Callithrix jacchus: one gene and its partners. The protein of the gene in region 5 interacts with the protein of the main gene of each other region in a biochemical or structural test. Links are inferred from orthologs where the notes say so. Each region holds a gene or a part of one and is shown on either strand. Other genes may lie near its edges. The genes, in order: CDK4, E2F1, SERTAD1, TRIP12, CDKN2A and CCND2.

What was found.
Region 1: the proteins of CDKN2A (region 5) and CDK4 form a complex in vitro, tested with the Homo sapiens proteins (12 studies listed by BioGRID and IntAct, with this or other methods). The link is inferred for Callithrix jacchus from reciprocal best matches to the Homo sapiens genes CDKN2A and CDK4.
Region 2: the proteins of CDKN2A (region 5) and E2F1 form a complex in vitro, tested with the Homo sapiens proteins (2 studies listed by BioGRID). The link is inferred for Callithrix jacchus from reciprocal best matches to the Homo sapiens genes CDKN2A and E2F1.
Region 3: the proteins of CDKN2A (region 5) and SERTAD1 form a complex in vitro, tested with the Homo sapiens proteins (2 studies listed by BioGRID). The link is inferred for Callithrix jacchus from reciprocal best matches to the Homo sapiens genes CDKN2A and SERTAD1.
Region 4: the proteins of CDKN2A (region 5) and TRIP12 form a complex in vitro, tested with the Homo sapiens proteins (2 studies listed by BioGRID). The link is inferred for Callithrix jacchus from reciprocal best matches to the Homo sapiens genes CDKN2A and TRIP12.
Region 6: the proteins of CDKN2A (region 5) and CCND2 form a complex in vitro, tested with the Homo sapiens proteins (2 studies listed by BioGRID). The link is inferred for Callithrix jacchus from reciprocal best matches to the Homo sapiens genes CDKN2A and CCND2.

Annotation. Positions count from the first base shown.
Region 1 is NC_133510.1:61,953,310-61,957,523, forward strand, and holds the start of CDK4 (cyclin-dependent kinase 4), read left to right. Parts: upstream 1-1,414; 5' UTR 1,415-1,538; intron 1,539-1,945; 5' UTR 1,946-1,964; coding exon 1,965-2,179; intron 2,180-2,335; coding exon 2,336-2,471; intron 2,472-2,588; coding exon 2,589-2,756; intron 2,757-2,913; coding exon 2,914-3,023; intron 3,024-4,189; coding exon 4,190-4,214.
Region 2 is NC_133506.1:5,612,713-5,616,730, reverse strand, and holds the start of E2F1 (transcription factor E2F1), read right to left. Parts: upstream 2,801-4,018; 5' UTR 2,682-2,800; coding exon 2,421-2,681; intron 1-2,420. UniProt on the Homo sapiens protein: Transcription activator that binds DNA cooperatively with DP proteins through the E2 recognition site, 5'-TTTC[CG]CGC-3' found in the promoter region of a number of genes whose products are involved in cell cycle regulation or in DNA replication.
Region 3 is NC_133523.1:35,982,860-35,986,839, forward strand, and holds the start of SERTAD1 (SERTA domain-containing protein 1), read right to left. Parts: upstream 2,801-3,980; 5' UTR 2,675-2,800; intron 84-2,674; coding exon 1-83. UniProt on the Homo sapiens protein: Acts at E2F-responsive promoters as coregulator to integrate signals provided by PHD- and/or bromodomain-containing transcription factors. Stimulates E2F1/TFDP1 transcriptional activity.
Region 4 is NC_133507.1:151,303,880-151,307,649, forward strand, and holds the end of TRIP12 (E3 ubiquitin-protein ligase TRIP12), read right to left. Parts: intron 2,594-3,770; coding exon 2,499-2,593; intron 1,992-2,498; coding exon 1,888-1,991; intron 1,039-1,887; coding exon 842-1,038; 3' UTR 501-841; downstream 1-500. UniProt on the Homo sapiens protein: E3 ubiquitin-protein ligase involved in ubiquitin fusion degradation (UFD) pathway and regulation of DNA repair.
Region 5 is NC_133502.1:128,971,937-128,975,913, forward strand, and holds the start of CDKN2A (cyclin-dependent kinase inhibitor 2A), read right to left. Parts: upstream 2,801-3,977; 5' UTR 2,725-2,800; coding exon 2,599-2,724; intron 1-2,598. UniProt on the Homo sapiens protein: Acts as a negative regulator of the proliferation of normal cells by interacting strongly with CDK4 and CDK6. This inhibits their ability to interact with cyclins D and to phosphorylate the retinoblastoma protein.
Region 6 is NC_133510.1:17,668,491-17,672,537, forward strand, and holds the start of CCND2 (G1/S-specific cyclin-D2), read left to right. Parts: upstream 1-1,247; 5' UTR 1,248-1,519; coding exon 1,520-1,714; intron 1,715-2,518; exon of another isoform or gene 2,519-2,955; intron 2,956-3,498; coding exon 3,499-3,714; intron 3,715-4,047. UniProt on the Homo sapiens protein: Regulatory component of the cyclin D2-CDK4 (DC) complex that phosphorylates and inhibits members of the retinoblastoma (RB) protein family including RB1 and regulates the cell-cycle during G(1)/S transition.

The DNA of each region.
Region 1 (4,214 bases), on a different chromosome or scaffold from region 5:
TACATTTATATATATTTTTAGACAAAAAATATATATTTATATATATTTTAGACAAATTGTCAATTCTCACAAATGAGACACTAACCACTTTCCTCCTTTACTCCCATACCCCTAAAGGGCTGGGAGATAAAGAACCTGGAGCCAATAAAACAAAAAAGGTAGGAGAAATCTACCTCTGTCAACCTAGGTGTCTGTGGGCAGAGGCCATTTGGGAAAAATGGTGCTAAGTGCTGGTTCTGGATGGTGCTAAGTGCTAAGAAAGCTGCACTAGGGAAAAAGGGAAGCACAGTGACTCCAAATGAACAGTCACAAGCTTGCAGAAAAGCACGTCATTCCCATTTACTGTGGTTGTCTGGAGGGTGCAGGGGGTGTGGTGGTAACTTCTTGCACATGCGCCTGTCTACGACATGTAATAAGTAATATAACATACATACATATATATATACCTAGAAGTATATATATACACACATATATCTTAATCTCACATAATCATAGAATCTTCCTACTGAAAAAACAAAAACAAAAAACATAAAGGTCAAGTATTCCTGTCTCCTGCTCATCAATAACTTCTCTGCCAGATGGCCTCAAGTCTTTGCATTAACACTTCCAGGAAGGTTTGGAAGTTGGGAACTAGAGGGCATTACTTTGCCACTGTTCCTGTTGTCTTACTGTATTAATCTGCCTTCTGTCCATCCCCTAATTGAAGTTTTGCCCTCCAGTGGGCATTGTCTACTACCTATTTTATAAGACCCCATTGTTGGCTACATCTTTATAGATAGTCGTACCACTACTTTAAAGAGCCAGTGACAGACACCAAAAACAAAACAAAATAAAAACCCACATACACACTGGCAACAAGCACTCAGTACAATTTTGTAGAATGAATGAGTGAAACAATGGCACAAATGAGAGTATGTTTTCTCACGGTGAAGCAAAAAGGTGATAGTACCACCTCTGGTCCCCCAACTCCCACCCTCTCCCCAATGTAGTCAGGCTGAAAGACCAGTGAAACAATCTTTCAGCCCGGAGTTGGGCTCTGGGTGGCCTGGGTTGCCATGGCACCGCCTTGGGCTCCACCCTCTCTTGCCCCCTACCGCGCCCCCCCACCCGCAGCGGGGTTGTGGCAGCTAGTCACGTGCCCTTCGCGTAACCACACCTCTGCTCCTCCGAGCAATGTCAAGCGGTCACGTGTGATAGCAACAGATCACATGGCTGTATCTCCCCTCCGCCCCTCTTACGCTCTTAGCTCTCCTCCCCGTCAAAGCGGCTCCTGGCCGCCCCCACAGCGCTTGGCTGGCGGTCACGTGCCCAGAACGTCCGGCGTTCGCCCCGCCCTCCCAGTTTCCGCGCGCCTCTTTGGCATCTGGTCACATGGTGAGGGTGGGGGTGAGGGGGCCTCTCTAGCCTGCGGCCTGTGTCTATGGTCGGGCCCTCTGCGTCCAGCTGCCCGGGACAGAGCCCGGGTGTATGGGGCCGCAGGAACCGGCTCCGGGGCCCCGATAACGGGCCGCCCCCGCAGCACCCCGGCCTGGCGTGAGGTAAGTGCAGCCCCATCCCAGCTTTCCACGCGTGCGTTTCGAGAGCTGGTTATGAAAGGGTCGTTCAAGGGCGGGAAATGGGGCCTTTGTGGTCGTGGGAAGGTATAATTTTAGGGACTGAGGTGTAAGATCTTCGATGCAAGGCGTGTGTCATGTGTGATCTTTGTACGGGGCGCGATTGTCCCAAAAGAAAAGGCATTTTTTATTGTAGGGCCTCACGTGGCTGCAGGGGTTGGTATTGAGTCATTGTGTTATCTCCGGGGCCGGCCCAAGGAAGATTGGGAGCGGGGGATGGGATGCTGGTGTTGTTCTTTGTGCTTTTTCTTGGGAGTCCCTTTGTTGCTGCAGGCTCATACCATCCTAACTCTGTAAGGGACTTTTAGTGATAGGAGTCTTTGTGATTGTAGGGTCTCCCTTGATCTGAGAATGGCTACCTCTCGATATGAGCCAGTGGCTGAAATTGGTGTCGGTGCCTATGGGACAGTGTACAAGGCCCGTGATCCCCACAGTGGCCACTTTGTGGCCCTCAAGAGTGTGAGAGTCCCCAATGGAGGAGCTGGAGGAGGCCTTCCCGTCAGCACAGTTCGTGAAGTGGCCTTACTGAGGCGACTGGAGGCTTTTGAGCATCCCAACGTTGTCCGGTGAGAAGGCGGTGGAGGGTTGGGAGTGGGCAGTAAAGGGAAAAGACAGTCTATAGGTGGGGTGTGGTGATCTGGTGAGAAGTGGGGACCCAGAGGAAATAATGAGAGGTCATGTGGGTTAAAGGGGATTGACAAGTGAGCATTTACTCTGGCCAGGCTGATGGATGTCTGTGCCACATCGCGAACTGACCGAGAGATCAAGGTAACCCTGGTGTTTGAGCATGTAGACCAAGATCTAAGGACATATCTGGACAAGGCACCCCCACCAGGCTTGCCTGCAGAGACCATCAAGGTGAGTGGGGTTGGTAGGCATTGAGAGGTGAATTGGGACCTTTGTAGTAGAACCTCCTGGGATTTCAGGGATGGTGCCTAGTTTCCAGTGCATCTGTTCCTCCCCCTTCTGAACTAGGATCTGATGCGCCAGTTTCTAAGAGGCCTAGATTTTCTTCATGCCAATTGCATCGTTCACCGAGATCTGAAGCCAGAGAACATTCTGGTGACAAGTGGTGGAACAGTCAAGCTGGCTGACTTTGGCCTGGCCAGAATCTACAGCTACCAGATGGCACTTACACCTGTGGTCAGTAGAAAGATGGTACCAATATGGGTTCTGGTTGGGAGTAGGAGAGTGGTGGCCCATAACAATTGAGAAGTCATGTGCTTCATGTGTTCAGTTAAGTCAGTTGTATTTCATGGTAACGCATGGGATCCCCATCCATTTTTCCTATCCCCTTTAGGTGGTTACACTCTGGTACCGAGCTCCCGAAGTTCTTCTGCAGTCCACATATGCAACACCTGTGGACATGTGGAGTGTTGGCTGTATCTTTGCTGAGATGTTTCGTCGAAAGTATGGGACCCACATACCCTGGACCACCTTGAATTCCCCAAATCTCTTGTTCATAAACCACATCCAAACCTCCCTTCCATTCTTCTTCTTTTTTTTTTTTTTTTTTGTTGGAGACAGGGTCTTCTCTGTTGTCCAGGCTAGATTGCAATGACATGATCACAGTTCACTGAAGCTTCAACCTCCTGGGCTCAAGTGATCCTCCCATCTCAGCCTCCCGAGTAGCTCACACTATAGGCGCACACCTCCATGCCTGGCTATTTTTTAATATTTTTGTAGAGATGGGGTCTCAGTATATTGCCCAGGCTGGTCTTGAACTCTTACACTCAAGCAGTCCTCCCAACTCTACCTCTCAAAGTGCTGGAATTACAAGCATGACCTACTGCACCTGGCCCCATTCGTTTACTTGAGTTCTACTGACTACCTTGGCCATAACGGGAAGCACTAAAATGTTCTGGAATTGGGAACTTCATATCCCTTTATTCTCCTTTATTTATTTATTTATTTGAGACAAGGTCTCACTCTATCACCCAGGCTGGAGTGCAGTGGCACAATTACAGCTCACTGTACCCTCTACCTCTTGGGCTCAAGCAGTCCTCCTGTCTCAGCCTCCTGAGTAGCTGGGACTACTACAGGCGCACGCCACCATGAATGGCTTTTTTTTTTTTTTTTCAAGACAGAGTGTGGCTCTGTTGCTAGGCTGGAGTGCAGTGGTGCGATCTTGGCTCACGGCAACCTCTACCTCCCGGGTTCAAGCAATTCTTCTGCCTCAGCCTCCCGAGGAGCTGGGACTACAGGTGTACACCACCGTGCCAAGCTAATTTTTATATTTTTAGTAGAGACGGGGTTTCACCATGTAGGCCAGGATGGTCTCCATCTCTTGGCCTCATGATCTGCCCACCTCTGCCTCCCAAAGTGCTGGGATTACAGGCGTGAGCCACCGCACCTGACATTTTTTTTTTTTTTTTTTTTTAAGAGACAAGGTCTTGCTTGTCCAGGCTTATCTAGAACTCCTGGGCTCAAAGAGTTGTCTCACCTTAGCATCCCAAAGTGCTGGAATTACTGGTCTTTATTTGCTATACTTTTTATTTTGGGCTACTAAGTAGTAACAGCCATTCGACTATGATACTTTAAAAATGACAGCTACCTTATGTCTCTTCTTACCTTAGGCCTCTCTTCTGTGGAAACTCTGAA
Region 2 (4,018 bases), on a different chromosome or scaffold from region 5:
GCAAGACCCTGTCTCTACTAAAAATACAAAAATTAGCTGGGTGTGGTGGTATGTGCCTGCAATCCCACCTACTTGGGAGGCCAAGGCACAGAATATCTTGAACTCCGGAGGTGGAGGTTGCAGTGAGCCCTGATCACACCACTGTACTCCAGCCTGCATAACAGAATGAGACTCTGTCTCCAAAAAAAAAAAACAGTTAAGTTTTCTACAGTAAACATGTATTATGTTTAAAATATTTGAGTTTGTGGAAGTGGACAGGCAGGACCAAGAGAAATGGCTGAATTGCACAGAGCCTGGTATACAGTGTTCAACGAATGCCTGCTGGTACAGAAGCTAAGTCTGTAGCTTATTCCAGGGACTGTGCCAGACAAATGCCAGTGCAGAGAGGCCAAAAGCCGAACCTGTGGACCTTCTGGACTTCAGCTCCAGTCTCCTGCCCCTAAGTACAGAAAACACCTCCTGGCCCTGAAGGACTCTGAGGGTGGGGCTCCTTTTCTCTGAGCCTAGTGCCTCCTAGGCATTCACTAACTCAACAACTGTTGAATGAATGGAATGCCCGGGCCAATAAGCCTGCCCCTGACAGGTAGAGTGGAGGGCACTCTTCTTTGCCCCGTTTCTCCTTCTGATCCTAGAATCCATAATCCTGTTCAGTTCCTTGAGGACAAGACCCTCAGGTTCTGTTAGGTTTCCACAGACCTGAGCCTGCTATATGCTTGTCACACAGCTGAATGGAGGATGCTTGCCCAGGTCCCAAGCACTACCCACAGGGACAAACCCCCGGAGTACAGGAGACAAGCCACCTGGCCCACCCCTCCCACCCACTCATTAAGATGAAGGGCCCCCAAAAGCCCTTCCTGCCCTTTCTTCAGCCTCTATCAGCATCCCTAGAAAGCAATGCATCCCAGAGGTCAACCTCACAGGAAATACAGATTCAACCCCCCGCTCAATAGCAGAATGACATGGGAAGATTCTAGTATTTCTAGGCCTCAGCTTCCCAATCTGTAAAAAGGGATTGCTGCTGATGGGGTTAAATGAGTTAATTAGGTAAAGCTCTTGGCAGAGCCTGGCACATAAGACATCCTCAAAACAATGGTGGCTGCTATTGTTATTATTATTAGCATCGTGGTGATTCCGGAAGGCAGCACTGGGCATGAGGCCAAGGGGGTGGGGGAGCCCCTTTAGATGCCTCAGGGACCAGCTGCTACCCTCACCCCCATCAGCAGTTAGGCAGCTTCTACCTCCTAGTCCTAAGCCCTGCCTCACCCCTCCCACTTGCTCCAAGCTCCCTGCTGAGACCCCATCCTGCTTGACCAGCCCCTGCCTGCACATCAGAGCCCCACCTTCACCCATAGGCTGCGCCAGTCAAACTGGTCTCCACACCCTGTACTGCAGCCCACAGGTCCCAGCTCCAGGCTTCTACGCCTCCAATCCCTTCTCCCACTGTAATTCAGCCACCTCTTCTGGGCACCACCCCCCCCCCACCCCCCGCCCCGTCTGAACTGGTCTTGAGCTCAGCACTCAGGGACGGCTTTATTAAAGGATCTCCCTGGGACATTTTCTCTCCTGGCACTGGGGGCCTCCTCTCCAGCTCCCAGAGGCCCAGCCCACCTAGTTCTTCTACAGAGGCTCAGGGGTCTGTCTGTCTGATTAATGAGGTTCCATGGCAACCAGGGCCTGGGAGGGTGGAGGGTGGCAGATGGAAGGACAGGCAGAGGGAGGAGATCAGCAGCTGGTCCAGCTGCCCCGCCCCTGCAGAGAAGGCCTCCCAGCCAGGAGGGCTGTCCCCAGAGGCCTGGCCGGCCAGTCCTGCACCTGGCAGTCAGCATCGAGGCAGGAAGGAGGGTCTCCTCAGTGGCTCACCAACGGTTAAGCCCCAGGACCTTCCTCGCCCCGCCTTCACTTCCCCTAGCAGCTGTGTTCACTACCGAGATGCAAATTCTGATCTGAAGCCAGCAGGCCGCAGTTCAAATCCCAGCCCCGCCACCTGCAGCCGTGTGACCAGGGGCAAGTCACTGTCCCTCTCTGGGCCTCAGTCCTCCTCCGTCAGCTGGGCACAGTGACAACACGGCTTACAGCAGGGTTGTGAGTTTCAGCTGGCTTGAAGTCGGCCGAGGCCTGGCGTGCAATAAACGCCAGTTGAATACACGTGGGCCATTATTATCATTGAGTCCGACGCTGGGGAGGCTTTAGTGAGGAAGCTCAGGCCCAGAGCAGAGGAGCAAACAGGGACCGGCCCGAGGTCACCCCGCACCCCAGGGCGGAGCCTGGAGGCACAAGCCAGGCTCTGCACCGCCCAGCCTGGGTGCCTCAGTCCACCCCTCCCCCGCCCCCTGCCGCCTCCAGGCCAAACACAGCACCCGCCCAGGTCTGCTCAGGGGGCACAGGCAGTGCTGCCGGCGCGGCGTCCCTGGGGTCCGTACCGGCGGGCGGCCGAGCGCGGGGCGCGGCGCGCTGGGTGTGGGCCGGGGCGCCTGCGGAGTGGCGAAGAGCAGCAGGTCGGGGTCGCACGGGCCGGCGGCGGGCGCCGCGGGGCCAGCTGGGGCCGGCGGGACGCTGGCGTCCTGTGCGGCGGAGATGATGACGATCTGCGAGGAGTCGAGCAGCCGCAGCGCGCCGGCCCCGAGCAGGGCCTCCAGCGCCGGCGCGCATGGGCCGCCCGCAGGGGCCCCGGCCAAAGCCATGGCGCTCACGGCCCGCGCGGCCCGGGTGACAGGCGGCGGCGGCGGCGCGGGCCCATGGCGGCAGGCCCCAGCAAGGGCTCCATCCCGCTCCGCCCCCGGCCGCCGCTGCCTGCAAAGTCCCGGCCACTTTTACGCGCCAAATCCTTTTTGCCGCGAAAGAGCCACGAGCCGCCGAGCGCCGCCACGATTGGCTGCCCGGGCCGTGACGAAGTCGACGGCAGCGGCTCCTATTGGCTATAGCGCGCCGGACCGGCGGCGACGGGAGGGATGGGGCGGCGGCGCGGGGCGGCGCGGGGCGGCGCGGCCAATGGCGGGGCGGGGCGCGCGCAGGCTTTGTCCAGACAGTGCCAGGCGCGGTCGGACTCCCCGCCCCCAGGCCGAGCGTCCCCTGCCGGAGGCGTGGGGACACTGGAACATGGCCCCGCCCCGACGCTCCCGCATCCCACTGACCTTTCTATAGTGCAGGTTCAGGACAGAGCCTCTGTTCACGCGACCCTCAACCTGTAGCCCCCACAACCTCAGCCCACATCTCCAGAAACTGCCCCCTCTTCTTTTCGGGATCATCAGTTCCACAGCCCAGCCATCAGCCACCTCTCCTATCCTCAACTTACCACACCCATGACATTATCCTAACCCTGCACCCAGCCCTATCCCACTCACCCAAAGCCCAAGCTGAAGAGCGGTACCAGGAAATGAGGAGGGACGACCCGCCAGATATTAGCCTGGGGCTTTCCTGCAAGTCCCATTTTAGCCAAAATCTACAATGGCCAAGTAAAGCGTCTGCTTGAACTAATTCATTCCCTCACTCATTCAACAAACGTCAGGAGAGCCTGCTCTGTGCCCATCCTTAACTCTGTGCCCCCATCCTTAATTCGTGGCCCTAAGGAGCTCACAGTCTACTGGATAGGGGACAGAGAGGTAACAGACGTTTACAATAGGATGAAGCATTGGTCCAGAGCGGTGGCTCATGCCTGGAATCACTATAATCAACGGGCAGGGTGGATCTCTTGAGCCCAGGAGTTTGAGACCAGCCTGAGCAACATGGTGAAACCCTTCTCTACAAAAAATACAAAAATTAGCCAGGCGTGGTGGTGTCCATCTGTAGTTCCAGCTACTTGGGAGGCTGAGGTGGGAGGATTGCTTGAGTCCGAGAAATGAAGGCTGCAGTGAGCTATGATCATGCCACTGCACTCCAGCCTGGGCAACAGAGCAAGATCCTGTCTCTAAAACAAAACAAAAACAAAACACATCACTTCTTCTAGGGACCCCTCCCAAGGATCTACTCACTTCCTCTATTGCCCACTGCTGCCTCTGTTCCAACACTGACCACACATTTC
Region 3 (3,980 bases), on a different chromosome or scaffold from region 5:
GGATCCAGCCACAAGGCGTCGACTGCCAGAGATTCCTTCTCTTCCTCCTCCTCCCGCTTCCGCTTCAGACCCTTGCTCAGCATCTGCAGAGAGCAGGGAGTTAAAGTCAAGTTATGGAAAACAAATGTCAAGTTCAAAGCCTGGATCTGACAGCTGCTGCAGGTAGGATCTTTGGCAAGTCACTTAGCGTCTCTGTGCCTAGCTTTTGTTAGGGAACTTTAAAGATATAGGCAATTTTTATTTAATTGTAGATGTATATTTATAGACTTTTTTTTTTTTTAAGAGATGGAGTCTCGCTCTGTTGCCCAGGCTGGAGTGCAATGGCATGATCTCAGCTCACTGCAACCTCTGCCTCACGGGTTTAAGTGATTCTCGTTCCTCAGCCTCCCGAGTAGCTATAAGCCACCACGCCCGGCTAATTTTTGTATTTTTGGTAGAGATGGGGTTTCACCATGTTGCCCAGGCTGGTCTCAAACTCCTGACCTCAAGTGATCTGCCTACCTCGACCTCCAAAGTGCTCGTATTACAGGCGTGAGCCACCGCACCCAGCCTATAGACTTCTTACATTTTGTATTTTATATTTTATAAAGTATATTTATGGACTTCTTTATTTAAAAAAATAGAGATGGTGTCTCACTTTGTTGCCCAGGCTGGTCTCAAACTCCTAGCCTGAAGCAATCCTCCTGCGTCAGTCAATAAGTACTCTTTTTTCTTTCTCCTTTTATTTTTTGTAGAGACAGGGTCTCACTATGTTGCTCAGGGTGTCAAACTCCTTGCCTCAAGCCATCCTCCCGCCTCAGCCTCCCAAAGTGCTGGTATTATAACTGAGCTGCCACACCTTTTTTTTTTTTTTTTTTGAGAGACAATTTTTCTCTCTTGTTGTCCAGGCTGGAGTACAATGGCGAGATCTCGGCTCGCTGCAATCTCTGCCTCCCAAGTTCAAACAATTCTCTTGCCTCAGCCTCCCCAGTAGCTGGGATTACAGGCACCCGCCACCACGCCCACTAATTTTTGTATTTTTAGTAGAGACAGGGTTTTACTATGTTGACCAGGCTGGTCTCAAACTCCTGACCGCGCTCACGATCTGCCTGTCTAGGCCTCCCAAAGTGCTGGGATTACAGGTGTGAGCCACCTCGCCCAGACCACCAATAAATACTCTTAATGATAACATTATAATGTCTTCAGTGAACCATGTGGAATGGCCAATATTCACCTTTCCCCTACAAAAGCAGCTGTTTCACATAGTTTATTATAAGTAATTATGTATAAATTATAAATACTAAACTAGTTTCACATAGTTTAATATTTATTGTCTACTATATATTTCAAACAGTAAATAAATAAGCAAACACAGGAAATGTACAGAGAATTACAGGAAGACACTAAAAGGTCCTGGAGACCTTTCAGATGATCAGAGGAGGCTCCCGAGAGGAGGTGACATTTGAATGGAGCCCTCAGGCCAGAGAAGTCAGCCAAGGGAGACCCCCTGGGAAAAGGATTCTGGGAGGAGGGATCAACAAAAAAAGGCAACCAAAGACCCAGAGGCTGGATGGGCTTGAACTGAAAGAGACTAGCATGCCTGGCATACAGAGAGTGACATGGTAGGAGACCAGATTGGGGAGCAGCAGAGGAAACGGGCACCAGCCAGGTCACAGAAAGCCACATATGCAGAAGTAGGGAGTCTGTATTTTATCATGAGCGTGGTGGGCGGTCATTAAAGGAATTTGAGCAGGGAGGGGAGTGGTGTTGTGAGCTGACTGGGTTTCCGTCCCCCCATGGCTGCTTTGAGGAAGACTGGGGGGAGGGGAGGAAGAGGGGGAATCTGAGAACCACTGGTAAGCTGTACTCGGTTGGGACGGACGATGGTGATGGCCTGGAGGAGGAGCTGGTAGTGTATGGAAGGAAGTCGGTCGAGTCACGATTTATTTGGGAGGCAGAATCGACGGGGCTTGCCGGGAAATCGTGCTGGGCACTGGGGTCAGTCACTGAGATAAGTTTGAGGACCCACTCTCTTCTTGGAGTGGCTGGGGGTGGGGTTGGAGTTTTGGACCCCTGGCGCTACCTACCTTTTTGGGCCAGTAAGGGTCCAGGGTCCAGTTCCCGGGACCCTGCCTAGCAAGATCTTAAGAGTGGACCATCACACTAGTCAAAACTGGGTCTCCGTCCCCTTCCCCGCGGTCCCAGGAGTGAGGAACCGCAGGAATTCCGCCCCCGACCCCCGACTCCGCCCCCGGGTCCCGGCGCCCCCTAGCGGTGCCCAGGCCGGCTTTCCCCCGGGGATTCTGGCCCCTCTGACCCCAGGACTCCTACTGCCCCGCTTCCCGGCTGTGATTCCTGCCGGCCTCCCGGGGCCGTGAGAGCCGGGACCCCCGGCGGGCTGTTCTGTGCGCCCGGCCTCCGCTCGCTTCCGGCAGTGGAGGCGGCTCCTCCCGAAGCGGCGGCGGCGGCGGGGGCGGGTGAGTCACGCAGCCGGAGCCAGGGAGCCGGCGCCTCCGCCCCCTTCTCGGGCTGCGGCGTGATTCACCCGGCCCGGCCGGGGCAGACGGCACATAGAGGCCCGTGTGTCTCGATCCCGGTCAGCCCAGACGGGCACCTGTCGGACCCAGGGATCGAACTTCGTAAAGGACCCGGCCGCTGGCACCCCTTCTCTCCCCAGGCCCCTTCATTTACATACCCTGCTCACTAGCGGCCAATCAGAACAAAGAGGTAGCCATCCACAGCCAATCAGGAAACGGCGGCAGCAGCATCGCTTGCTCACTCTCCTCCAGCAACCGGCACCTGGATCGCAAGACGCAGTTCTGACTCGAGCGCACGACTCCAGACTCCTAACTAACCTTAGCGACGCCCACTCTCGTGGCTGCCCCTCCCTTCGCCCCAGGGATTGGCTCTGGACGGTGATGGGCGGAGCCTGTAGGGGGCGGATTCTGAAGGAGGGGAGGTTGGCTTCAGGGCGCATGCCCGGGCAGCTGCTCTAGTGAAGGGTGAAAAGAGGTGGCTTTTTACCCTGGGGAATGGTGGCGGGTGGGCCTTTTGCCTCTCAAAGTACGAGCCCCTCACAACTACCCATGCACCTGCCAAATATGGCAATTAAGGTTCTTACACATCACGCCCCGACAGGGGTCTACACTACAGATATGCCCGGGTTCAAATTCCGACTCCGGATTCACCACTCAGTAGATTTGTGACCTTGGAAAACTGATCGACCTCTCCAAGCTACACGAAGTTAAATAAGGATAGTCTTGCCTACCTCTTCACAGCAAAGTTTAAATAGGATGGTATCTATAAGAGCACAGTCTAGAGATAGGGTCCTGACAGGCTCTAAAGCATCATCTCAAAGGTTATTTGCTAACTGCAAAGGATGAAATCCTTTTATGATGTAGCCCTCATAATCTTAATCATGTAATGAAATTCTGCATTACCAATGGCGGGACACTGGGTGCCACCTACCATAATGCATTAGGATTAGGAAGTACATTAATAAGAATTAGGACATACCCTGTGGAGTCTCCCAGTTCACTGCATAAGCAGAATCTCCCCAGGCCTTTAGATTCAGCCTCCAGTTTACTGGCAATAGAGAGGAACAAATTAAACACAGTCAGACAAATCCAGAATGTGGGACACTCTACAGCACGACTGGGCTATTTTGCCAGAAATTCAATGTCAAGAAAAGATAAAAAATGGTTTGGGGCTGAGTGTGGTGGCTCACGCCTATAATTCCAGCACTTTGGGAGGCCAAGGCAGATGGATCACCTGAGGTCAAGAGTTGGAAACCCGCCTGGGCAACATGGCGAAACCCCGTCTCTACTAAAACTACAAAATAAATCAGCTGGTCGTGGTGGCATGTGCCTGTAATCCCAGCTACTCAGGAGTATAAGGCAGGAGAACCACTTGAACCCAGGAGGCAGAGGTAGCAGTTAGCCAAGATTGTGCCACTGCACTCTAGTCTGGATGACAGAGTGAGACTCTGTCTCACACACACA
Region 4 (3,770 bases), on a different chromosome or scaffold from region 5:
AGACTTTCTAACCTTCATAAAAGAAACAAATGAGCTTTTTTTGTCTCATTCCAGAGGCTGTTGCTACTGGAATTGCCATGTAAACAGTCCTAGAGTGTCACCTGGCAAAAAGCCAGTAATACTCTCAGCTATATTAAAACTAAGCTATAAGAAAAGTCTACCTAGTTACAAAGACTGAATTCTATTCAATATATTTCAATCCAATGAATTTTAAATTAGATCTTAGCTGGAGAGAACATGGGACAACAAAAGCCCATGGCTAACGAAAATTTGAGAACTGAGTGTTGCATAGAAAAAAAACAAAACAAAACTGTGAGCTGCACAGACAATAATGAATCAGGGAGAGGAAATCCGAGGAAAGTGAAAAGCACATAGAGCTAGTCTACTGAACTACATTTGTCAAATACATGTGAGCTTTAATTTCTGTACTTATGTACAAGAGTTGTCTTTGGAGGAAACCAAACTGCAGACTTAGCTAGATGGATACACACAGCCCAGAATTAAACTGCACAGCGACATTTATTGTTCCAGCCTGGAAAAACATCCCTTTTTTAAATTTCACACAGCAAAGCATGTTAAAAACTTCACTCATCAAATAAATGATAATTTAAACAATAACTTGCTAAAGAAACCTCATCACAACAACGTTTTAGGGCCTGATCACTTTAAGTCCATGGGGCCATTAATGAATATCAACCAAGTGTCTCTTTATAATCTGCAAGCCGTTTTTCCTACAACAAGAAGGCGTAACATGTTTCCTTGACTCAGGTGATACATAAGAAAAGAAATCATGATTTGTTTCTTTTGCTGTAACAGGCAGACACTGCATTTCTTGTTGTGATCAGGAAAGATGGAACGACTGCTGCCCTTCTCTTGCTGCTATCAACAGTTTTTCACGCATTATCTCAATGCTTGAATAGTCCGGCAACTTAAGATAGTTCACACAAGTCATTACAGAGGGCAAGAAGTCATCTGGGTTTTCTGTTGATTCAAACGTCTTTCGGACAATTGTCAAAGGTGGATTCAAACTCCGGAATCCTGATTAAGAGAAAAAGAAAGATGAAGAATTTAAGTTTTTAAAAAGCACTAACTGCTGTACCATACAATATTACACACAAGGTATTCTTTCTTGCTTGGTAACTACACATTCAATATACATGAAGTATAAGGAACACCCTTTATTTGTCATTTTAAAAATCAATGTATAACATGGAGGCAACTGTTCTTTATGCCTTTTGATTTTTAAAATGGAATACCCACAGTGGTTCATGCCTGTAATCCCAGCATTTTCGGAGGCTGCGGTGGGCCAATAGCTTGAGTTTGAGACCAGCCTGGACAATATGGCAAAACCCTATCTCTACAAAAATCCAAAAATTAGCCAGCCATGGTGCTGTGTGCCTAGAGTCTCAGCTATGCAGGAGGCTGGAGCAGGAGGATCACTTGAGCCCAGGAGGCAGAGGTTGCAGTGAGCCAAGATGGTGCCACTGCACTCCAGCCTGGGCCACAGAGTGAGATCCTGTCTCAAAACAAAACAAAACAAAAAGAACAGAATACCAATTTAACTTACATTAAAATTCAATCTGAAAAAACAGATTTTAGAATCCATTCTCGTCTAAGTCAACTAAGAGTTTATAATGTACAAATGGCCTAGAATTTTATCTAACCAGCATTACACGTACATGAGGAATCCTACTTCAATATGTTTAAGACATTCCCTATGAATTGCCCTGCCAGTGGTCTCAATGTACTGTAAGAAACATGATGACACTGGAATAACTAAGAGGCACTGCAAGTGATATAAAGAATCTCTTGCTTATGGTACCGAAGTTTCACACCCACAAACACACCAATAGGGGGAATAAATGCTAACATCAACATCATACCCACCTCCAACAGGCAATCTTGGGCTACCAGTCACAAACTGGAGAAACAACCTCTGCTGCTCATTATCAAAACTACTGAGAATCTCAAACAAAAACTTCACAGCCCGACTATAACAGAAATAAATATACCGAAATTATTTCATCAGGTTAGAATAGTTTTAATCACATCGCATCACATCACTGACTGTAAACTTCTCAAAATTAGATGAACACTTTTAAATTACAGGTATGCTTCCATTATAATGTACAGATTTGTTTGTTATGACTAGAATTCAAATGGAATGATTATAGTTGTAATATGTGAGGCTTGATCTGGTACTATACAGATAGTTCTGCTTTAATATATGTAATAATGTGGAACAGAATTGAATCTGTCTTCACCAACCCCTAATATTTTCACAGAAATACTTGAGAAAGTTAACTCTTGAATCTCAATTTGTCATCTTGAGAGAAATAAGGCCAAAAGAGAAGTAAGTATGCATCCATTAACAGGTAGACATTATTTTAAAATGAACCACTCCAACTTTTGTTGTTTACATATGTGTGCGTGTGCACACACCCCCCTCTCCGCATTCTTTAAGATCAATAGAGAAACTGGAGAACCCCAATACTTACCTGTCATGAGTATAACCGTGATCAGGCCTGCAGCATTCCATCAGTGTCTTTGCATCCCAAGTGTCTGCTTTACTGCCACAAAGGAGCTGATCCAGCTGTGAGTTTAAAGGTAAAAAGAATTACTAAAGAAACATCTGCTGACCTGAGTAAAAATAAAGGTCTACGTGTACCACACAAGAATATCAGTCTCAGTACTAAAACCTTCTGCTTGGGCCCTTTCTTTCTAAAAAAAAATTGAGAGATTCCATTTCCTTTTTAGCTGTACACTATTAAGTACCCTGCCCATCTGCAAAGACTTGGTTCCAGACAAGCTGTTCCTCTTAAACCAAAAACACCTGATACTCTTGATTTCAGTTTTCCTTTCTTCTCATTACTTTAGGTGTTTTAAATTGATAATCTGCTTTTAATCAGGGAGATTTTATAAATCCTGGCTTTCAGAAACACAAAAGTATATAACAGATCCCAAAGGAGAATATTGAGCTGGAGAAAGAAGTGGGAGAAACAAGCTGAACTAAGACACAGCAAATGGGTAGGTCTTTATGCTTTGTAAAGAGAAGCACGTCTATGTTACACGGTTGTTTGTATGGGGACCAACCTAAATATTACCAAATAAATATTAGAAAGCAATACATGTTTTCATGTCCTTAGAAAATCTAACATCAGTTTCAAATTAAAACCATGTCTTTCTCTGGTTAACTGCTGATTTGCAGAAGACTGTATACTTTGAGAAAATCCAATTTGAGGCCAATGAAATTTAATACCTATTATATAATCCTCACTGTCCAGTATCATACATATATTCATATACATATACATATATATATTTGTTTTGTTTTTAAAGACAAAGCCTTGCTCTGTTGCCCAGGCTGGAGTATAGTGTGCAATCATAGCTAAGTACAGTCTTGGTCTCCTAAATTCAAGTGATCCTTCAATCCCAGCCTTCCAAGTAGCTGAGACTACAGGTGCATACCACCACACCCAGCTAATTATTTGTATTCTTATTTTAGACCTGGTCTCACTATGTTGCTCACACTAATCTTAAAATTCCTGAGCTCAAGTGATCTTCCCACCTCCATCTCCCAAAAGTGCTGGGATTACAGGCTGAGCCACTGTGCCCAGCCTATTTAATTTTCATTACTCTATAACAGGGGTCATCCCAATTTTACCAATGAAACAGTCCTATCAGATACAGTAACTTGAATAAGGTTACATAGCAAATGGTGAGGACAATGATTCAATTCCAGGTGACGAGCAGTGCCTATAAGTATCAGG
Region 5 (3,977 bases):
CACCATTCTACTCTCTACTTCGAAATATTAAATTGTTTTATATTTCACGAATAAGTAAGAACATGTGATATTTGTCTTTCCGTGTTTGGCTTATTTCATTTAGCACAATGCTCTCCAATTCCAAAACTTCAATTCCTTCAAATATAAAACAAGATGGCTAGTCTTAATTAGTCCTAAAATTCCTTTCTGTCGTAGGCTGAATAATGCCCTGTCCCCACAAATATCTATGCCCCAATCCTCAACAGCTGTTAATATATTACCTTAGGTGGCAAAAGAGGCTTTGTAGATGTGATTGAATTAATGGTCATGAGGGCGATTATCTGGAATTTTCAGTGTAAGCCCAACATAACCCCAAGTGTTTTTATTAGAGGGTCACAGTCAGAGAGAAAATATTAGAATCAGAGGCCAGAGAGAAAATACAGGGGCCATGATCTAAGGAATTTGATGGTCACCAGAAGCTGGAAGAGACAAGAAAACAGATTCTGCCTTAGAGTTTCCAAAAGGAATGCAGCACTGTGGACCCATTTTTGACCTCTGATCTCTAGAACTATAAAATAATAATTTTGTGTTTGCTTTACTACTACATTTGTGATAATTTGTAACAGTAGCAATAGGAAACTTAAACACTTTCCAGGTTTATAATTTGAGAGTTCATTAAATAAGAGATGGTCACTTCTTTGGTTCCTAAATCATCTTGAAAACAAAGCCATTTCCAAAGAGGAATTTTAAAACACTGTCTGCAGTCATAGCAACCTTAAAATTTGAGTATTATGTGGTAGATGATAGTAGAAGCAGATAATTTATTTTGAGATAACTGTTATTTGTTATATCAGCTTGAGGATGGTGGTGTTATAAAGAAGAATTATTTATTTTTAGGCACATTTTGTATTAAACACAAATTGTATAATTTGCCTAAATCAAAGAATTATACTAAATTATACTGTAGTTACTAAATCCTGTCCTAAGAAAGTGAAACTGAGTTATTTTTCAAGGAGACAAAGAGAAAGTACAAGAAACCAAATTGCAGCTACAAAAAGACAAAATATTGCAGTAAATTTATTGTTTTGTGTGTTCAATGAAGTCCTTCATTTCGGTCATAAAACTAGTCTTAATGGTTTTTCTTATATTTCATAGTATGAAAAATCTAAAAAGTAACCCATATGTAATTATTTAAATCATGATAGAAATCCAAAGCAAAAAGAAAATGAATCAATTGAATGAAAATGTGTAGGATGCTTAAACACATTTAATAAGAAATTAATATGAATTTAGTACTTAAAAATGTTATACAAATAAGTTTCTATATTAAGCATCAATGTAGTTAGGATTCTAAGCCAACGTCATTTCCCCTTTTCTACATGTTCTTCTCCCTTCCCCATTAAAAATTGTCAAAACTATCCACTTTTCTTTTCCCTTTTTGCTTATAAACAAATAAGGTCTCTTCTACAATATTTTAGGGCTACAATGCCAAACTTCCAGGTCCAAGCTGCTGTTACAATTTTAGAGATGCAAAGATACCCAGGCATTAATTACTTTTAAATCATCCCCTAACCCCTCACAAAACTGGAGTGGGGAGAGGAGAAACACTACTTTTCAAAAATGAGGAAATGAAAAATCTCTAAAACTCTATCACAAATAAATTATATCAAGAAAGCTAAAGATAGCAAAAACAGCAAAAATGTCAGCAGATAATCCCAAAATGGTAACTACATATTACATCTGGTGTGATCACATGAATGTGATTCATTATATGCATCTATCTATCTGTATTTCCTAAGTTCCTACAGCAAACATATATTTTTGCCCTACTCACTTAAAAATAAACACAACATGTAGTTGCTTCGGAATAATTTCTTTCTTTTCTTTTATTTATCGGACTTTCACCCTTTCACCCAGGCTGAAGTGCAGTGGTGTGATCTCGGCTTACTGCAACCTCCGCTCCTGCCTCAGCCTCCCGAGTAGCTGGGATTACAGGCGTTTACGACTATGTCTGGCTGATTTTTGTATTTTTAGTAGAGACGGCGTTTCACCATGTTGGCCAGGCTGGTCTCCAACTCCAGACCTTGTGGTCCGGCCGCCTCGGCCACCTAAAGTGCAGGGATTACAGGCGTGAGCCACCGCAGCCGGCCGCTTCTGAATAATTTCGATCATAAATTTATATTCGATATTTATTCCAACATACACGATAGATTATTACTGATAATACCTCCTAGCAAGAAAGATAAGCTCCATCCAGGATTCTGTGAATTCAGGGCTAAATAGTTCCAGTACATCCTACATTTCTTTAAGACTCGCGTTTTATCCCAAACGTTTGTAAATTTTGTATCTGATAAAGAGCATACCTCCATCTAATACAAATATTTCCCCCCTCTTCAGATCCTTACAGCATTCCAGAGATCTGCACGCGCGGGCCTCCTCAATCCTTCCGTGGCTTCCCAGGGCCCCCAGAAGACCAGGTCTTTGATTACAGACCTCTTCTGAAAACTGCGCAGGAAGCCTCTCTTTTTCCAGAATAAAAGCGCTACTTGATTCCCCTGCAAATCTCGTCCTCCAGAGTCGCCTATCACCCCCTGCTCCCGCTACAGGCCCTGTACCCACCTGGATCGGCCTCCGACCGTAACTATTCGGTGCGTTGGGCGGCGCCCCCGCCTCGAGCAGCGCCCGCACCTCCTCTACCCGACCCCGGGCCGCGGCCGTGGCCAGCCAGTCCGCGGAAGGTTCCATGCTGCTCCCGGCTGCTCGCTCCCCGCTCTCCCTCTCTCCGCTCCTGCAGCGCTCTCGCGGCCCGCACTGCAGTCTCGAGACCAGCCCGCCCCTCCTCTTTCTTCCACCCGGGAGGGCGGGCGGAAGAGCCCCCACCCCCAACACCCGGGACGCTGTCCCTCGACTCCTCCGGCGGAACGGCTATATCTTTCCAGGCGGGGGGGCGCCGTTCGCTAGTCCTCCGAGGAGGTGCTATTCACTCGCTGCGAAGGTGGCACCCCTGAAGCCGCCCCAAGGTGGGTCTGCCCCGGGGGCACCAGCCGGAAGCGGCCCTCGCCCGCCGGAGCCCAGAGGCGGCGAGGAAAGGCTGGACTCCTCCCCACCTGCTCCTACACCGCCCTTCGGCAGCCCTGCTCCCGGCCTTGCTACCCCGCCTTCCCAGCAACCGCGCGTTTTCGTCTCAGAGCAAAAAGAAATTTCGCACCCCCCACACCCCTCCCCCTGCCCACGTTTCCTTCCTCCACGGTACAACCTTCCTAACTGCCAAATTGAATCAGGGTATTTGGAGTCACAGGGAAAGTATGGCTTCTTCTTTTACTCATAAGAAAAAGCAAAACTATTCTTTTCTGTTTGTGAGAGCCCAGCGAGGATCAAAATCACCTGTGCGACTGGGAAGCGTCCCCCTACCCTCTCAACCCTTGATTTTCGAGAGCGCCGGGTTCACTAAGTCAGAAATCCTAGTTCAAAGGATTCCTTTTGGAGAGTCGGCCTGCTCTCTCCTTCCCTGCCCCTTCCCCTCCTATGTGCAAAACGGCTGTCTAGGGCGTGGATTTCTCACACATGTGCATTGCCTGGTATAAGGGCAGACTCTGAAAAAATGAGGTTTGCTTAATACGACAGGAGAGAATTGTGCCACGGACAGGGGAGAATTGTACCAATGGGGAGGGAGTACTGGAAGGACGGATTCCATTCTGAGTAAGTCATAATTCCTAGACCAGAAGAAGTGCTCAGTGTTCTAGAGGCAGAGTTGCACAGTGATTCAAAGATCAGCTTTACACACTGTTCTGTCTCCTTCACACGCACATTTCCCCTTCCCACTGAAAATACCTTGCATTCTTTTTTTTAGTTATAAAGGGGTAGGGGAATATGAGTGCCCCCTGCTTTACAGGAGTTGTTGTGAATTTAAATGAATTGATGTATTAATACATATGAACCTTAAGAACAGTGCCGCATACCCTAAGCTAATAATACCTGTTATCTCTTGAATTGTCCAT
Region 6 (4,047 bases), on a different chromosome or scaffold from region 5:
GGGTGGGGGTTGGGGGTGACCGGAGGAAGGAGGTGTGGAAGCGCCAGCAGATCAATCTCCTGTAAAGACAGCCTTGACTGGAGGATGCGTTAGAGCACGTGTCAGGGCCGACGGTGCTGGCGGCGACTTCACCGCAATCCGCTCCCAGGGAGAAAGCCTGGCGAGAGAGGCGCGAACCCGGAGGGGTCGGCGAGGATGCGGGCGAAGGACCGAGGGTGGTGGCCTTATGCCTCCAGGGAAAGGAAGGGGTGGTGGTGTTTGCGCAGGGGAAGCGAGAGGGAGCCAGACCTAATCCCTCTCTCGCCCCCCTCCCCCTCCCGGGCCATTTCCTAGAAAGCTGTATCGGTGTGGCCACGCTCGGCGCAGACACCTCGGGCGGCTTGTCAGCAGATGCAGGGGCGAGGAAGCGGGTTTTTCTTGCGTGGCCGCTGGCCGCGGAGGAACCGCTGGGAACCGTGCCCCCGGCCTGCAGCGGCCCTGGGCGCTATACCGCTTCGCCCCAGGGCGCTCCTAGGGCCCCCAGGAACACGACGGTTTCTGCTCGTGAAGCACACTCTGTCCCTCCAGAGAAGCATCCCCCTTCCTTCCTAACACCCACCCCTCCCTCTTCTTCCTCTCCACACACTGCTGGGAGGGGGGGCGGCAGAAGGGACGACGTTCTGTTCCCTTTAATCGGGGCTTTTGAAACAGCTTCGAAGTTATCAGGAACATGAACTTCAGGGACGTGACCTTTATCTCTGGGTATGCGAGGTTACTATTTTCTAAAATCACCCCCTTTCTTATTTTTCACTCAAGGGATCTATTTCTAAATTGTCTGAGCTCACCCCATCTTCAAGTAATCTACCCTACATGCCTGGATCTTGAATACAAGGGCAGGAGAATTAAGATCCGTTTTGAAGGAGCCAAAGTTGGAGGGTCGTATTTTGGCGCGCTACACCCACAGAATGAGCGAAATTAGAGGGCAGAAATAGGAATCAGTAGTTTGTTGTGGGTTGCCCTGTCCGGGGCCCCTGGCACGCAGGGCTGGAGGAGGGAGAAGGGTTGGGGGGGCGGGAGACGGCGTTTGAAGTTAGGTCGGGGCAGCTGCTGTTCTCCTTAATAGCGAGAGGGGAAAAGGAGGGAGGGAGGGAGAGATTGAAAGGAGGAGGGGCGAGCCAGGAGGGGAGGGAAGGGGAGGAGGAACCAGAGCGGGGAGCGTGGGGAGAGGGAGGAGAGCTAACTGCCTAGCCAGCTTGCGTCACCGCCTCAGAGCGGAGAAGAGCGAGCTGGGGAGAGCAAGACCAGTTTGAAGGGGAGGACCGGTGCGAGTGAGGCAGACCCCGAGGCTCTGCTTGCCCACCGCCCAATCCTCGCCCCTCTTCTGCTCCACCTTCTCTCTCTGCGCTCACTTCTTCCCCGAACCCCCTTATTCAGCCAAAGGAAGGAGATCGGGGGAACCCTTTCCCTTCCCCTTCCAAAAAACAAAAAACACATTTCCAGTCCGCAGAAAGTAGGGGAGAGAAGGGTCGCCGGGCTGGCCATGGAGCTACTGTGCTGCGAGGTGGACCCGATCCGCAGGGCCGTGCGGGACCGCAACCTGCTACAGGACGACCGCGTCCTGCAGAACCTGCTCACCATCGAGGAGCGCTACCTTCCGCAATGCTCCTACTTCAAGTGCGTGCAAAAAGACATCCAGCCCTACATGCGCAGGATGGTGGCCACCTGGATGCTGGAGGTAGGTCTGCGGGCGGCGCTCTCTAGGAGCCAGGACCGCTCCGTGACTCTCGGCCCCCCGGCAGGAGCCCTAAACCTGGAAGAGGGCAGTCCCCGCGCCGGCCTCCCGGCTCCTGTGCGGGAGGTTACCGCGCGCCTTTTGGCGAGACGCGTGGCTTTATTACTCTTCCTCTCCAGATTAACTCGGGAAGGAGAGGCGGGAGGAAAATCTGGGGAAGAAATGAGGCTGTCCTGGGCGGGGGTGGGGGAGCATCCCGCGCGCGTGTGCCTGCATGTGGCTGCCTCTTCTTCCCACCCCCACCCCTCCACCCCCGCCCCGAGACCTGTGTTTTGCGAAGCCGCCGCGGCTGCTTTCGCTGCGGCCAGGAAGGGAGTCGGGGCCAGAAACTGGGACCCCGAGTAGAAAGGCAGCCCCCTCAAAAGGCCAAAGCACATTCGTCTTGGCCTCTGGTCCCTGCATGTGGTCGCAACTCCGCGCTGGCACTTCAGGGGGGAGGTGGAGGGAGGAGGCAGAAGGAGAGAAACGGGGAATTCTGGAGCCCCGAAACTTACAGGGAAGAAACGTGTGTTTCTGGGGAACCTAAAGAACCACGTCTTGCCCCTCACTCCAAGTCTTTGCCCAGCGAGCCGTGTGCCCACGTATGCACAGCTCTGGACCTGCCGTGGTTTCGCCATGTTGCTTTGCAAACTCCCGTTGGAAAGGCTGGGAAACGTCGCCAGCTTACCCTTGCACCCCATTATCCCGGCCACCCCGCTTTGAATCGTGCCCTCTCCCCCACCCCCCCACCTCGCGAAGGTTACTTACAGTTTGGCTTTCCAGCTTCCTCTGTGCGGAGATTTGGGTGGGGTAGGAAGGGGGGGAGGGTGTGTGTGTAGGGGGTATATCGGGTCACTCCTAAAGGAGAAGTCGGAGCCCCCATCTTCCTTAAAGGGCTCTCTGCTCCCGTCTGTCCCCCAGCTCGTCACCACGTTCCCTAGTTTCTGTCCTTGTGGGCCGCAGCCGGACACTCCCGCCGCGGCGCTCACCCCTTTAAGTTTCCTCCCGGGATCTAAAGCCCCAGGGGTCGGAATACAGACCTTTCTGGCACCCGAAACTTACGTTTCGGGAAGCCTGATTCCTCTTTGGGGTTTTCACGCCAAAAGGGCTTTTCTAGGATATTTCCTCGATTTTTAATTATTTTTTGAAACTGTCCCCCCCCTGCTCCGACTCCAGCTGCCGAGGCTGCGGCGCTCTTCCTCCTCTCCTCCCTCCCCCTCTCTTCCCCACCTCTCCCCACCCGCCCCCCCAATAGCGGCCCCTGGGCCGCAGGGACCCCCCCGGACATTTTTTTCAATTGTCGGGAATGATAGAGGAGGATCTGAGGATCCCGATGAGACCAAGAAGTGGACCCTCGGAGCCTCCAGAATATTTTTATTGATTTTTTGAAAAGATGACGAAATCCAAAAAAGAGTGAGTGAGTTTAGAGTGCGCGAAGGAGTAGCCAAAGGGAGCGTCGCGGAGCTGCCGCGGCTGCTGCGCACTTCCCCGACTCCCCGTTTTGGAGCTGTAGTTCACCCCCTTCTATAGGCTCCCTGGGAATGCCAAAGCCAGAATGGGCTATTCTAATGCACCCCAGTTTCCTCATCTTTGTTCTTTATTCTTATCACACATTCTACTCCCCTCCCCCCCCCACAAAAAATTAAAATTTTTTGTTTCCATACATTATGCATTTTTATTCTTTTTCTCTTTTGCTGATGCTGTGCTCTCCACCCCCGCCCCCCAACCCTTTCTCACTCCCATCGTAGGTCTGTGAGGAACAGAAGTGCGAAGAAGAGGTCTTCCCTCTGGCCATGAATTACCTGGACCGTTTCTTGGCTGGGGTCCCGACTCCAAAGTCCCATCTGCAACTCCTGGGTGCTGTCTGCATGTTCCTGGCCTCCAAGCTCAAAGAGACCAGCCCGCTGACTGCGGAGAAGCTGTGCATTTACACTGACAACTCCATCAAGCCTCAGGAGCTGCTGGTAATGACGGGCCCCTTCCTCCCTTCCTTTCTGCGATTCCCGCTTTCCCCTGGCCAGCAATATATCTTCTACTCACCACTTCCAGAGCAAATTCTTGGGATCCAAAAATGATCCCACCAATAGAATGTTCACACTTACAGGCGATGGCTCTTTTAGTAGGAAACCGCTGTCTTTTTTTTGGTGTTCCTACTATGTGCCCAGGCTCCGTGCCCAGCACTGAGGCTACATCTGTGAATAAGATCCTCATGGAGATTTGGGTTGGTGAGACTCATTCGCAATGTGTGTGCATGTGTGTAGGGGAAGCATGGAATATTTTAACTAACAGTGATAATA